3 linked regions of the Mus musculus genome follow. The protein of the gene in region 1 binds, or shares a complex with, the protein of each later gene. Links are inferred from orthologs where the notes say so. Each region holds a gene or a part of one and is shown on either strand. Other genes may lie near its edges.

The links.
Region 2: the proteins of S100a4 (region 1) and Myh9 are in contact, whole or in part, in an NMR structure (PDB 2LNK), measured with the Homo sapiens proteins. The link is inferred for Mus musculus from reciprocal best matches to the Homo sapiens genes S100A4 and MYH9. Residues at the interface, in NP_002952.1 of Homo sapiens: Leu38, Ser44, Phe45, Leu46, Gly47, Lys48, Arg49, Thr50, Asp51, Ala54, Phe55, Lys57, Leu58, Asn61, Leu62, Ser64, Gln73, Glu74, Cys76, Val77, Phe78, Ser80, Cys81, Ile82, Met84, Met85, Cys86, Glu88, Phe89, Phe90; in NP_002464.1 of Homo sapiens: Thr1906, Ala1909, Met1910, Glu1913, Val1914, Ser1915, Leu1917, Lys1918, Lys1920, Leu1921, Arg1922, Asp1925, Leu1926, Pro1927, Phe1928, Val1929, Val1930, Pro1931, Arg1932, Met1934, Ala1935.
Region 3: the proteins of S100a4 (region 1) and Anxa2 are in contact, whole or in part, in a crystal structure (PDB 5LPU), measured with the Homo sapiens proteins. The link is inferred for Mus musculus from reciprocal best matches to the Homo sapiens genes S100A4 and ANXA2. Residues at the interface, in NP_002952.1 of Homo sapiens: Lys35, Leu38, Pro43, Ser44, Phe45, Leu46, Gly47, Lys48, Arg49, Thr50, Asp51, Ala54, Phe55, Lys57, Leu58, Asn61, Leu62, Gln73, Phe78, Cys81, Ile82, Met84, Met85, Glu88, Phe89, Phe93; in NP_001002857.1 of Homo sapiens: Leu13, Glu14, Pro21, Ser22, Ala23, Tyr24, Ser26, Val27, Lys28, Tyr30, Thr31, Asn32, Phe33, Glu36, Arg37, Leu40, Thr44, Gln69, Asp70, Phe73, Arg77, Arg78.

What each region holds. Positions count from the first base shown.
Region 1 is NC_000069.6:90,602,425-90,607,012, reverse strand, and holds S100a4 (protein S100-A4), read right to left. Parts: upstream 3,244-4,588; 5' UTR 3,207-3,243; intron 2,383-3,206; exon of another isoform or gene 2,255-2,382; intron 2,017-2,254; 5' UTR 2,002-2,016; coding exon 1,861-2,001; intron 1,274-1,860; coding exon 1,109-1,273; 3' UTR 968-1,108; downstream 1-967. UniProt on the Homo sapiens protein: Calcium-binding protein that plays a role in various cellular processes including motility, angiogenesis, cell differentiation, apoptosis, and autophagy.
Region 2 is NC_000081.6:77,772,393-77,776,559, forward strand, and holds part of Myh9 (myosin-9), read right to left. Parts: intron 3,543-4,167; coding exon 3,411-3,542; intron 2,889-3,410; coding exon 2,682-2,888; intron 2,303-2,681; coding exon 2,165-2,302; intron 1,667-2,164; coding exon 1,543-1,666; intron 1,052-1,542; coding exon 880-1,051; intron 1-879. UniProt on the Homo sapiens protein: Cellular myosin that appears to play a role in cytokinesis, cell shape, and specialized functions such as secretion and capping. Required for cortical actin clearance prior to oocyte exocytosis. Promotes cell motility in conjunction with S100A4.
Region 3 is NC_000075.6:69,487,906-69,492,072, reverse strand, and holds the end of Anxa2 (annexin A2), read right to left. Parts: intron 4,019-4,167; coding exon 3,960-4,018; intron 2,422-3,959; coding exon 2,299-2,421; intron 628-2,298; coding exon 568-627; 3' UTR 288-567; downstream 1-287. UniProt on the Homo sapiens protein: Calcium-regulated membrane-binding protein whose affinity for calcium is greatly enhanced by anionic phospholipids. It binds two calcium ions with high affinity. May be involved in heat-stress response.

The sequences.
Region 1 (4,588 bases):
GCTCACAACCATCCGTAATGAGATCTGACACCCTCTTCTGGTGCACCTGAAGACAGCTACAGTGTACTTACATATAATAATAAATAAATCTTAAAAAAATAGTAGATAACATAATAATAGTAATGGTAATCGCTTGTCCTACAGCCTCTATGGGAGACACTATGTTAAGAAAATGACTATTTCAGTCATCCATGGTAGCATATGTCCATAATGCCGGTGCTGAGGAGGCTGGCAAGGAGGATCAGAAGCTCAAGGTGTGAGAGAGAGAGAGAGAGAGAGAGAGAGAGAGAGAGAGAGAGAGAGAGAGAGAGAGAGAGAGAAAGAGAAAGAGAGAAAGAGAGAGATCCTTGTGCTACTACGAATGACCTCCCTCTATATTACCCTTCTTCATCCAACCCTTCATGGACAGGAAAGGATTGATCCAGTGTTTGAAGCCAATGAGCTAGATGGGGTAGCAGGCCAGGACCTGGCCTATAAATGTCAGGGCTGAGTGCCAGTCCACCTCTCCATTCTTCTCTGGCTTCAAGACTCCTTCCTCATGACTCAGGCAGGCCTGTTGTCTTCTCTCCAGACCCCAACCAGCAGCAGATGTGACCTTTAATCCCATCCCAACTTCAGTTTGAGCCCAGAGGCAGTGCTGGAGAGAGGAGGGAGAACTGTGGGCTGGCTAACAGCACACATCTGGAGCCTTTCAAGCTAAGCCTCTGGTGGTTTCTGCCTTTAGTGTTCCCGGAGTTTGCTCTGTTGCATATATAGGAGCACGTAAACACACACAAACACACACGCACGCACACATGCACGCATGCATAAGCACGCACACACAAATACATACTTGCAATGTACTCAAAATAAGCCACCCACCCCTCCCCAACCTTTTTTAGTTTGGCCCCCACAAAGCTCCAGGTCAACTTCCAGCAGTCTCTACCACAGCCCTCAGCCCATAGCCTCCAGTCTCTCAGACAACAGCTAATAGTTTCAAAACCTTTTATTGAATTTGCTCAGCACTGTGCACATGTGCGAAGAAGCCAGAGTAAGGCACTATGCTCACAGCCAACAGGGAAGATCCCCCACTGGCAAACTACACCCCAACACTTCATCTGAGGAGTCTTCACTTCTTCCGGGGCTCCTTATCTGGGCAGCCCTCAAAGAATTCATTGCACATCATGGCAATGCAGGACAGGAAGACACAGTACTCCTGGAAGTCAACTTCATTGTCCCTGTTGCTGTCCAAGTTGCTCATCACCTTCTGGAATGCAGCTTCATCTGTCCTTTTCTGGCAGTAGAAGAGGAGCAATTAGAAGCCAACTCAAACCAGATATTTGCCTCCAGTCAGGAGCTCAGGAAGGTTTGCAAGCACTCCTTGCTAGCCTCGGGGCTAAACTATGGGATGAACACATGGGATAGCTGGGAAAGGATGTGACCACATCTTCCCCGTGCTTGTTTTAATTATCTTAATAGGAAACTGTCATAATAGTGATCCGTTAACTAATATAAGGTGTTATTGAGAGGATAATCTGCAGGCATTTGTGTGCCTCCACGATCATGTCTTCACAAATAAAAACTCGATTTCTAGTGCCCATCTCCGGAAAGACAGCCCTGATCTAGGCTGTGGTTTCAGACACTGACTGCCTAATGTGGTTGTTTTGGTTTTCCTCTGCCTCTTCAGTTATCTTCATCCTAAGCCTGTCTCAGCTGGGGGCTAGTGTGAAGTAGGTGGTTCATTGTGGTTCCGTACCAAGCACCCAGAGCAGGGATATATGCCAGCTATAGCTAAGTACTGCATCAAGACTAGTGCCTACCAGCCCCAGCCTCCTCCTGCAGATGCATCACGTGTGCAATACACAGGCAGGACCCACTTACCCCCAGGAAGCTAGGCAGCTCCCTGGTCAGTAGCTCCTTGAGCTCTGTCTTGTTCAGCTTGAACTTGTCACCCTCTTTGCCTGAGTATTTGTGGAAGGTGGACACAATTACATCCAGGGCCTCCTCCAAGGGTCTTGCCATGGTAACCGTTGAGACCTAAGGGCAGGAGACACAAAAGTAACATTCTCCAACCCACGCCAACAGTGTGTTGAGAACTGGATATGTGTTGCTGAGCATGACCCAAATCACACTCATTCTGTCCCCATTTTAAGTGCTCTATCCCAGCCAACTCTCTAAGAGATGGACCTCACCCCCTGGGGAGATCAGAGGAATGGGACCCATTGATGGCAAGAAGGTCACATGTGCTCTGGGCTCTGAAACCTGCAAAGCCTACCCCTCAAACTCTGGAGATCCATGCCAGCACCTTTCTGTGCCTCTCAGTCCTGGCCTCAACAACAGCAGTTTTCCATCAGCTTACTCACTCCCACAGCTCAACCACAAGCACCAGGCCCTGGCCCATTCTTCTCCCTCCCAGCGTTGGGCGCGGCTGCTGGCTGCCTGCCCAGAGGCAGACAAAAAAAAGTGGAAAAACCCCAGCTGCCTAATAGGAGTAAGATGAAGTGGCAGAGGTAGGGATGCAAGAGGAGAGGGTGGGGAAGCCAGGCTTTCTTGGCCTAGGTGCTATATGTTCATAGGGCTATTAAAAATAAGACACACTACAAACACGAATGCCTGCAGGAGGGTGCTGGAGAGATAGCTCAGTGGGTAGAGGTGCTTGCCACCAAGCTCCAGGGCCTGAGTTTGATCCCCACAGCCCACATGCTAGAAGGAACAGATTGACTCCCACACAAATTGTCCTTTGGCTCCCACAATGTCGCCTTGGCATTTGCTCCAGCCCAACCCATACGCTCATACACACAAATAAAAACTGTAATTTAAATACTGTAAAACAAAAAGGCCTACTGATGCCTTCGCTTTGCTTCCTGTACCCGAGTGTCCACACACTGTCTTGTATTACCCAGCAACACGAGTCAGCATCCTATGCATGACAGTGACTCCCAAGCACCACCAATATACACTATAGCAACATGCAAGCCAGCCTCAGTATCTCAAAACCTCCGGGAGCTCAGATGTAGCCATTTATACACTTTTTTTTTTTTTTTTTTTTTTTTTGGTTTTCATTCTCGTGAAAAACACACACACACACACACATACATGAACCTCCACATCAGAATCTCTCATCTGGATTTATTAAAGACATCTGTTCCCCCAGCAGCCCCCCTTTCTTCTACCCTAGCCTCAGCCTCTAATGCCGCTAGCAGTGCTATCAGACCAACACAACTCACCAGACCAAGAGAGAGGAAGTGCTGAATAGAGAGGTTTGGGGAGAGCCCAACAATCTGACCTATTTATACCCTGCCAGGCCCTGCCCATGCAGAGGATGGGGGAACATGGATACTGTGCTCTTGCTGTTGGTTGATGTAGTAAATGTCATAGCACCCTCGACCAGCCCAGTCTGGGAACCAGGCTTCCTGCTCCCTCCCCAGCAGGCACAATCAAGTAGTGAGTGAGCTCCAGTGGGCACGGCAGAGACTTGGATGGGGTGGACACCACCAAGCAGCCACAGCTCAGCCAGAAGTTTAGGAAGCTTTGAGAACGGGCAACCTGGACATGAGGTGTGGGCCACAGGAAAGGAGATGGAGATGTTATGGGCAAGGGATAAGGAGCTGCCCTGGAAATATGTGGCCCAGGAACGAAGGAGGTGACCCCAGCCAGTGGGACAATGTCAGCACTTCCCTCCAGCCTAAACAGCTTCTTGTCACAATCAGGAAGACCCAGGATAGAGGCTAGCAAGTCAGGAGGGACCTTGGGACCACCCCAGGTATGAAGTAGGAGCTATACCTAGGAGGCCATGATGGAGTTAGGGTGGCAGTGTGGCCTGGAGGTTTTCGAATGGATGGAAGCTGGAGTAAGGATATTGAGGAATGACAGGAGCATTCGGGGTTGAATGTTCAGCTTGAAGAAGAGAGTTAAAGAGGAAATAGGTAAAAGGGGGAGTCAGGATTAATCTCTAAGGATAGGGTACAAATTCGGGGATTGAGTGAAGGTTAGATGGAGGTTTGGCTTTGGGCTCCCACAACCATACTCTCCTTGCAGCATCTGGTCAGAAGTACCTCCCAAGGAGCCCCTTGTCCTCCTTGAAAGTCCAAGATAAGGACTTCTATCTCAAGACAGGGGACAGAGAGAGACAGAGACCCTCCAGTCTCATCTGATAGGACACGTGTTACCCCTACCCTCCTGAAATGTGTGCATTTCTACAGGGCCTGACACCGCTTTGGGGGTCCATGCCTTCCATGGTAAGCCTCCTACCTCCAGTAGTAAGGAGCATAAAGGAACAAGGACTCGGTCCCAAGGCCCAGTGTGTCCCATCAGAAAAAAACAAAAGTAAGCCAAGAAGACATTTCTTTATTGGGAGTTGAGGAGGCCCCTGCCACAGCGGTCCCAGTTGTGTGCACATGGCTGAGCAGAGATGTTCTTCCCTTCCAAGAAGAGAAGCGGCAAAGGCTGGCTACTGTCCCACCCCTCACAAGCTAGACATCCCTAGGAAAGCCTCGAAAGCTCATGGGTAGCTGGGTGGGGTTAGCACATCAAGAACTTGGCAAGTCTAGATTGAAAGGGGTACCACAGAGAGAGTGGGAAGGGTGTGGCTACACACCCAGGACCACCT
Region 2 (4,167 bases), on another chromosome or scaffold:
AGAATTATTCCATTTTCTTAATTAAGAATATATTTTTAAATATATAAAAATTCAAATGTTTACCAAAAAGATACAAAGAAATAAAACAGTACATGTAGGTCATGATCACTATAACTAAGTTAAAATGTGGATGTGCTATGAGTTTACATCACTAAGATCTGTTAAACTCAGCAGAAACCGCTCTATCATGGTAGTGGCAAGTGGAGGAAGAGAGGGGCTGTACATGTGGGGGCAGGGCACGGATGAGAAATCTCGACTTTCTTTTCAATTCTGCTGTAAATCTAAAGTTGCTATTTAAAAAGAAATGTACACAGGGAACTGAAATGGCTCAGCAGATTTGCAACCAAGCCTGAGGGCTAAGCTCAATCTCTGGGACCCACAAATAGCAGAAGAGGACTCAGGCAAAATGCCCTCTGACCTCCACATGTGCAGCACAGCACATAATCCTTAGGCAACCCCCCACCCCCAACAGGTAAACGTAAAAAAAAAAAATTAAAGAGAAAAAAATGACTTTTAATATATGCCTATAGCCACAAAATAGGGAAGGAGCAGGGGACAGGAGACCATAGAGGGGAAGTGGGAAAGGAAATGGGTGAAAGGGGAAGGGAGGGAGGACTACAGAGAATGGGGAGGGAGGACTACAGAGAATGGGGAGGGAAGGAAGGACTACAGGAAATGAGGAGAGGGAGGACTACAGAGAATGGGCTGTAGATGGCTTTTGTGAAGATTAAACACTCTGGAACACACTGTCTGTGGATCAGAAGTGTCTTGCTCTTGGCTCTGACACAGAAGAAGAGAGCACGCTCATGGCTCAGCACCAAAAATGAGACGAGAGGGAAGCCACTGCACGTGCGACACTGGCTAGGAGCAGAGCCTCACCTGGCCAAGGCAGCCTGCAACTCCTCCTCCTTCTTGGCCAGCTGCATCTTGAGCTCTGCTATCTGCGCCTGGAGCTCAGCAATCTGGTCACTGAGGTCTGTGGAGTCTCCCTCCAGCTTGCGACGGGTCTTCTCCAACTCCTGCCTCTGCTTCTCCTCCCTACGGAGGCGCTCTGCCAGGAAGGGCAGGAAGGGACACGGAGGGAGCCTTAATTACTTGTATGAAACCAAACACTATGTACTTGTAGGACACATGGACTGTTTAAAGGGACACCATGCACACGCCCACTTCCAATTCTGAGATGAAACAGAACCCCAGAAGCTACCAAGGCCTGCGCGTCCCCATGGCAACACAGCACCTGGAGTTTGTGGTTCCTTCCTTCTTCCCTTCACTGCTGTCAAAAGTCCTACAGCTTCTAAAATGGCTGTGCCCAACACATGCCATATCAAAGCTTCATGCTTATCACCCCTCACACAGGCAACCGTCCGGCCATGCAGCAGTGAGCCTGCAGCCCTGACTCCCGGAGAACCAGATAGCGCCCCTGAAGCCTGACAGCCTTGCCTTAAGGCAATGGCCTAGCCCTAGGCTGAGCCTGGCTCGCCTATGAGTGCACAGGGCTCAGTGCTCTGCGTGGACAGGATGCTCACGGCCAGAGCGTCTCACCTTCCAGGTCGGTGATCATTGCCTCGTGCTTGTTCTTGAGCTTGGCCAGGCTCTTGGACTTCTCCTCCTCTTCCATGAGGTTGGTAGTGAATTCAGCTACTCTGTCTTCCAGCAGTTTCTTCTCCTGGAGGTGGAGGAAGAATGTCAGAGTTCAGTGCTGGCTAGGTACATACTTTAGCTCTTCCAAAGGAAGACTCAACCAGAAATGTATGGATCAAGGGTAAGGCAGGGCCTTAAAGAGTTGGCCAAGTTCATAGACACAACAAATGTGGGTATCCAAGACTTCCTGGGGTCAAGTAGGAAAGACTTCTAGGTGTCAACTAGTTTAGGGAAAGGACAAGCAGCCCCACCCCTGGCCCTACTAAGAGGCTGCCATCTGGAGTTTCCTCAATCCTAAAAGCTGGTAAAGACCTTTGCCAAGGAAAAACGGCAAGCCCCTGCCGCAACCTCCTCATTCATGAGAAAAGTCCTCTGCACATGGTGCTGGTGCCCAGGGGCCTGTGTGCCCGGGAGGACTGTGCTGCTGGACAGAGCCACGGCACCGCGGGGGATCGGGCAGGTAGGCAGGTCTTGGCCCTGCTCTGCCCACCCTCTCCATGACTGCATGCACAGCAGGCCCCACCTTGGCCAGTTTGCAGTTCTGGTCCTCCATGATGATCTGGTCCTCCTCCAGTTTCTTCAGCTTGGCCTCGGTGGTCACCTTCTCAAGCTGCAGCTTCTGCCGGGCGCTCTCCTCCTCCTCCAACTGCTCCTCAAGTTCCTAAAGGGAGAGGAGACGTGAGAAGGACGGAGGACACACACACACACACACACACACACACACACACACACACACGTCTGATCCCTCTTCAGGAAACCAGCATGTGAACTGGGGCACATGACTGACATAGTCTCAACAGTGTTCCCAGGGTGCCACAAAGAGGCCTGTGCCAAGGCTGATGGAGGAAGGACCAGAGAGAGAAACTCAGTGGCCTCAACGTTCAATGGGTAGCGCTCACGGAGATGTGAGCCGTGGACACTGAGTGATTGTCGCAAACAGGTGGACAAAGAAGGCTGATGTGGTAACTGAACCTGTGTGCCTATCTTGTGCCCCTGGCTGCCCACACTGTGCCCGCCCTGCCCGGCAGGAGCAGGGGTACCTGGATGTTCTGCTGCATCTTCTTCTTCTCGGCCTGCAGGTACTGGCAGCGCTCCTCCTCCTCCTCCACCCTGGCCTCCAGGTCATGGCAGATCTCCTCCAGCTCCTGCTTCTTCGCTGTCAGACGGGCCCGGAGCTCCTCAGCCTCGGCACACAGCTCTGTCTCCGCCTGCAGCTGCTCCTGAAGCTGCAGCTTCTCTGCCATGAGCTGCAAAGAACACGTGCAAAGGCTAAGTTCCCTGCGGCCTCCTTGTAGTCCAGATAAGAAATGTCCCCCGAGGCTGGCACGAAAGGCTTGTTTGCCAGTGGCTGGCACTGTTAGCTGCTGAGAGCTGTAGAGCAGAGGCCACTGGCACACATCATTGCAGGGAATATTGGAGTCCTGGCCCCTTCTTTCCCTCTGCTTCCTTAGCACAAAGAAGTGAGCCGCTCTGCTCCGCCACTCTCTGTCGTGGCACTCGGCCTCAGCAGGGGCCTGACCACAGGCTGAGTCTCTTCAGCCCTTTTAAGTGACTTATCTTAGGCACACTGTCACAGCAACAGAGCTGGTGTGTACCCCTCAAGTAGCTCCAGGGTGGGTGCTTATGGCTCAGGCTCCCGGCTGACAACTGCTCTCCCACTGGACTTGACTGCAAAGGTTTTCTAAGCAGTAAGCTAGCCGGCCTGACGGTGACCAGCAGGGGGCAGCACTGAGCGCAGCTGGGATTGATGGGTGGAGACTGACACCTACCTGAGACTGCATCGTCTCCATCTCTGTCAGCCTGTTCTCTGCAGCCAGATGTTTCTCTCGAACCTTTGTCAGTTCCGCCTCCTTGGCTAACAGCTCATCCTCATGTCTTATTGAGTTCAACAGGGGCTTGACCTGGGAGAGGAGACACAGGCAGAGTTGGCCCACCCCTAGAAGCTCCCTCACCTCTGGAATGCAAGCTCTAGAGACGACCTGCTACCTGGGGAGGGGGTACAAGCAGGTACAGCCTTCCTAGAAGTCAGTCTGGTACAACATGCAACAGGCCTCTGATTCGCTTAATTACGCTGCACGGAAACCACGTCTACGCGTGCATAAAGATGCCCGTGACAGCGCTGTTTATAGGCCCAAGACTTAGGGGTGAGCCATCTAGCCCCTAGGGAACAGTTCCTAAAAACTGACGCTGATAGGAATTCTAAATACAAAGTGCAAGATACAAGACTATGTACACAAGTCGAAGCTTGGCTATGTAAGAGTGCGTACAGTTTACATAGCTGAGACTCACTGCGAGTGAGAAATGCAGAGAGATCATGGCATTGGTTCAGAGTGAAGGGCCCGTGATTTAGTTTTAGGGTCTTTCTAATGCTTTTTTGGTATTTAACATATGTTATATATTATAAACTAAAATTGACAGAACAAGTTGCAAAGGAATTTTTTTGAGACAGGATCTCTATGTAGCTGTCCTTATTCACTATGTAGACAGAGATCTGCCTGCCTGCCTCTGCCTCCTGAGGGCTGAGAT
Region 3 (4,167 bases), on another chromosome or scaffold:
GTCAGCGTTCATCTGGGTGAATAAAACATTTGCTGTCCCCAAGGAGAAGTACACACACAGATAAGAGCTGTAGCCCTTGCCTAAGGGGTAAAATTTGAACTGTATATAATTTTAAATTCACTCATCCTTTTAAAAAAGTGCATCTGTATAGTGGCTACCAGAGGGAAGAGATAAGTTCTAGAACTTTCATCCTCTAGGGGCAACCTCCCTGGGCGAACAATCAAATCCCAAGTATGTCTGCTTTCTGAACAGTGGCTTGAAAGCAAAGGCAACGGCATTCTTGTTTCTAAAGTAAAAACGGTTTATTCACGACACAGTACATAAGAGGAAGTGTCTCATGTCACAGACGCTACGCCCCACTCCCTGGAATGTTCACTTCTTTGGCATAAAGGAGAGAATGAGGAGAAAGCCAGGCAAGGGCAGCTAAGATGGGGAAAGGGTCGGCAGCCCTGTCATCATCCTCACAGGGAGGAGCTCAGGGGTCCATTAGTGGAGAGCGAAGTCTCTAGAACGCCAGGTTGGGGCACAGGTAGAGCCACTTCTGGGTGATCCACTGTGCTGAGCCCTTCAGTCATCCCCACCACACAGGTACAGCAGTGCCTTCTGGTAGTCACCCTTGGTGTCTTGCTGCAGTGGCCAGAAAGAAAGAAAAGTAGTGTCAGAAGAAAAAAAAAATAGATTGTACAGCAACCCGCCATAGCCTTGGTGTGCCCTGGGGACTTGCAGGCCTGCACAGTGGACCAAAGCCCTGGCCCTCTGAAGCGCAGTGGGAAATGGTACGTCACCCTGTCAGGACTGCGAGGGAGGGCGGAGAATGTCTCCCACACTGCAGGTCCTGCAGGGCCTTCTGCAGCAGGCCCGAGTTTCTCCTGCACCTGCGCCCTTCTGCACAGGACAGGGTAGAACCTTGGCTGCCTCCCTTTGAAGTTTTGTGGACTTTAAGGATGCATGAAAATAACTAGTGACGTGGAGAAATAATTTCTAACAGCTTAGCTGTCCCTGGCTTTAATCGTGTGCCCTAAGAAGCATGGCTGCACTGACCCCCCAAAACACACACACACACACACACACACACACACACACACACACAATTGTCCTTGGTGACCATAGACCAAGATAGATATAGAAATGTCAGGATCTTTTAGAAAGGGGATTGCAGCCAAGCCTGGTAATGCACACCTATAAGCTTAGCTAACTAGGAGGATGAGGCAGGAGAATCACAAGTTCAAGGCCAGCTCAGACATCTTAGTGAGAACCCTTCTCAAAGAGAAGAAGGAGGGGTTGGGAGAAAGTTTAATCTGCAAAACGCTTTCCACACAAGCATGGGGACCTGAGTTCAATTCCCCACTTTAAGAAGCCAGGGCTGGTGATGTGCAATGTCACCCGCACTGAGAAGCAGAGACAGGAGGATCTCTGGGGTTCACCACCCAGCCAGCCTCATTCAGTCACTGAGTCCCGACTCTCAGTCAGAAATCCTGTCTCAGCAAACAAGGTGGACAGTTCCTGAGGAATGACTCCAGAGGTTGACCGCTGGCCTGCACACACACATGCACACCCACACCCAGACAATACACATACTACCACCACCCAAAAAAGTTTAAAAAGCTGTGGTTGCTAGCTCAGTGGTAGAGGGCTTACTTAGCATATGCAAGGCCTAGGCTCCATCCCCAGAGTAACACTCCTGGCAGCTGAGCACAGTGTTAACACCAGGAAGGCTCCAGCATTCCAAAATGCAGACACTAAGTTCACAGAAGAGGTGGGTTGGCAAGAGACAAATTGTCAGGCCTCTCTGAGGATCTTCAGGAAGCAGGAGCATTATAGAATACAAAACGCCTTTGGCCTTCAGAGTCCCTCTGATTGTCACCAGGTCATGCAGGATCGTCACTATAAACACCTATGACCACTGTAGAGTGACACTTGTGGGAAATGTATAAACCTGCTTTGAACCTATGAGCCTACGAAAATCATATAGGCTACTTTCAATATAAATCCCTGATTCTTGGTGCCCAGAGTCTATTCTCTACGAAATGAGAAAACAGGAAGGTCACCACTCTGCCATTGTTCTCTACAGCCACCTGCACACACACACACACACACATGCACACACACACACACACACACACACACACATGCACATACACATATACACACCCACATAGTCATACACACATGCATGCACACATGCAATGCAGATGCACATGCATGCACACACACATGTACACACACATATACACACCCACATAGTTATACACACACACACCATGCCTGGCAGAGCCAGGTCCATGCCACAGGCTTTACCTGGATGTAGTAGTACAGGGACTTGCCATATTTCCTCTTGAATTCAGATCTGATTTTCAGCATGTCCACTTCACTGCGAGAGACCATGATTCTAATCAGGACCTTGTCTCGAGTCCCCTTGCCCTGAAAGTCAAAGTGATGATCAGAGTTAAGTTCCTTGACAAGGTTATCATTAAAAAAAGCACCCACCACAGTTTTTTCTGGCTCGTGTGTGTGTGTGTGTGTGTGTGTGTGTGTGTGTGTGTGTCTAGGGAAGCCCTCTGGAGTCCAGAAAAGAGTGTCAGATCCCCTAAAGCTGGCATTCCAGATGGTTGCTTGCTGTCCAGCCTGGAACTGGGAGCCAAACCAGGATTTCGACAACAGCAGCCAGCTTGTTTAATGCCTGCACTCATGTGGGTCGTGATCTTACAAGACTTAAAAATGCAGTGCTGAGACTGTTTCCTTAATGAAGATGAGCACCTTAGATTTCCAAGCACATCTGAATGTTTCAAGATTTATTTAAAAATTTCTAAGTATGTGTCTGGGGGAGCCCATAGGTGTACATGTAGGTGCACACGGAGGCCAGAAGAGGGCATCAGATCTCCTGTAGCTGAAGTTTCAGGAGCCTATGAATGATTCAAACTAGATGCTGAGAAGCCAAGGGGGCCTCTGCAGGAGCAGTGTGTGCTCTTAACTGCTGAGCCGCCTCTCCAGTCAGCTCTGCTTCTGACCGCCAGCCTGCAAGTTTGCATATGCAGCAAAGGGCTGGTGGACACTTAGGGGTGCAGAGAGGATGGGTCGGCACGCTGTTCTTATGGCTCTTTGTGAATGCATGAAATAGCCTGCACTAAGGAAACTATCTGTAACAGGGAGCCCAAGGAGAGCAGGCAGAGGGTCAGCATGGACACGGGGGGCGGAGGGGGGGTGCTCCAGAGAAGAAATCAGGGTCCTGGAAAGCAGACCAGTCCTGGCAGGACGAGAACCAGAACAAGGCTCGTCCGGGGCAGCTCATGCAGGAAGATCACCCAGCTGTGCATCTGCAAAGCTGGCCTTGGCTCCAGGCGCTCTGCCTGCCTTCTTTATCAAGAAGATAAAAATGGACGCCCTGCAGGGTTTCCTGCCAGGACTTAAGGGAGGGAACTGAAAAGCTGTTGTGTAGTGCCTGCTGATGGTCACTCACATCCTGTTTGCTTTTATCCTGGGACTAATGGGACACCATAGCTGAAAGCCCCAGCAGAAATCAGACACCGTTGTCACCTTACCCTTTCCCTCCAGTGACACCTTATTCTGGAGCTGCATCGCATGTATTTAAACAACTGAGAGAAGATGGAATGGTGCTTTCTCACCTGCCAAATACAATCTCAGCTAGCTAGTGGGAACCCATCCTCTAAACTAGTGCTTACCAACCTGTGGGTCTCAACCCCTTAGGGGTTGCATACCAGGTATCCTGCGTTTCAGATATTTACATTGCAATTCATAACTATAGCAAAAGTCCAGTTCTGAAGTAGCAACCAAATAACCTATGGTTAGGGGCCACCACAACATGAGGAACTGTATTAAAGGGTTGCTGCAACTGGAAGACTGAGAACCACTGCCCTAAACACTAGTCACAGAGATTCAGTTTGAGCCAAAACAGAGGTGGAGCTTAGTGGAAATGGAGCCTCTGGGCCAGCAGTCCTTACCTTCATGGAGTCGTACAGCCGGTCAGCGAAGTACAGGGGCTTGTTCTGGATGCACTGGACTGTGGGAAGGAGACAGAGGTCAGGGCTGCCCGCCTGGCCCTAAGACACTGACCAGAATGGGCCCGTCCATGGACAAAGGCTGTAGAAGGCTAAGGGGAACTCAGAATCTTGTGAACTAGCAGGCTCTACCCACTGCGGTACCTTCAAC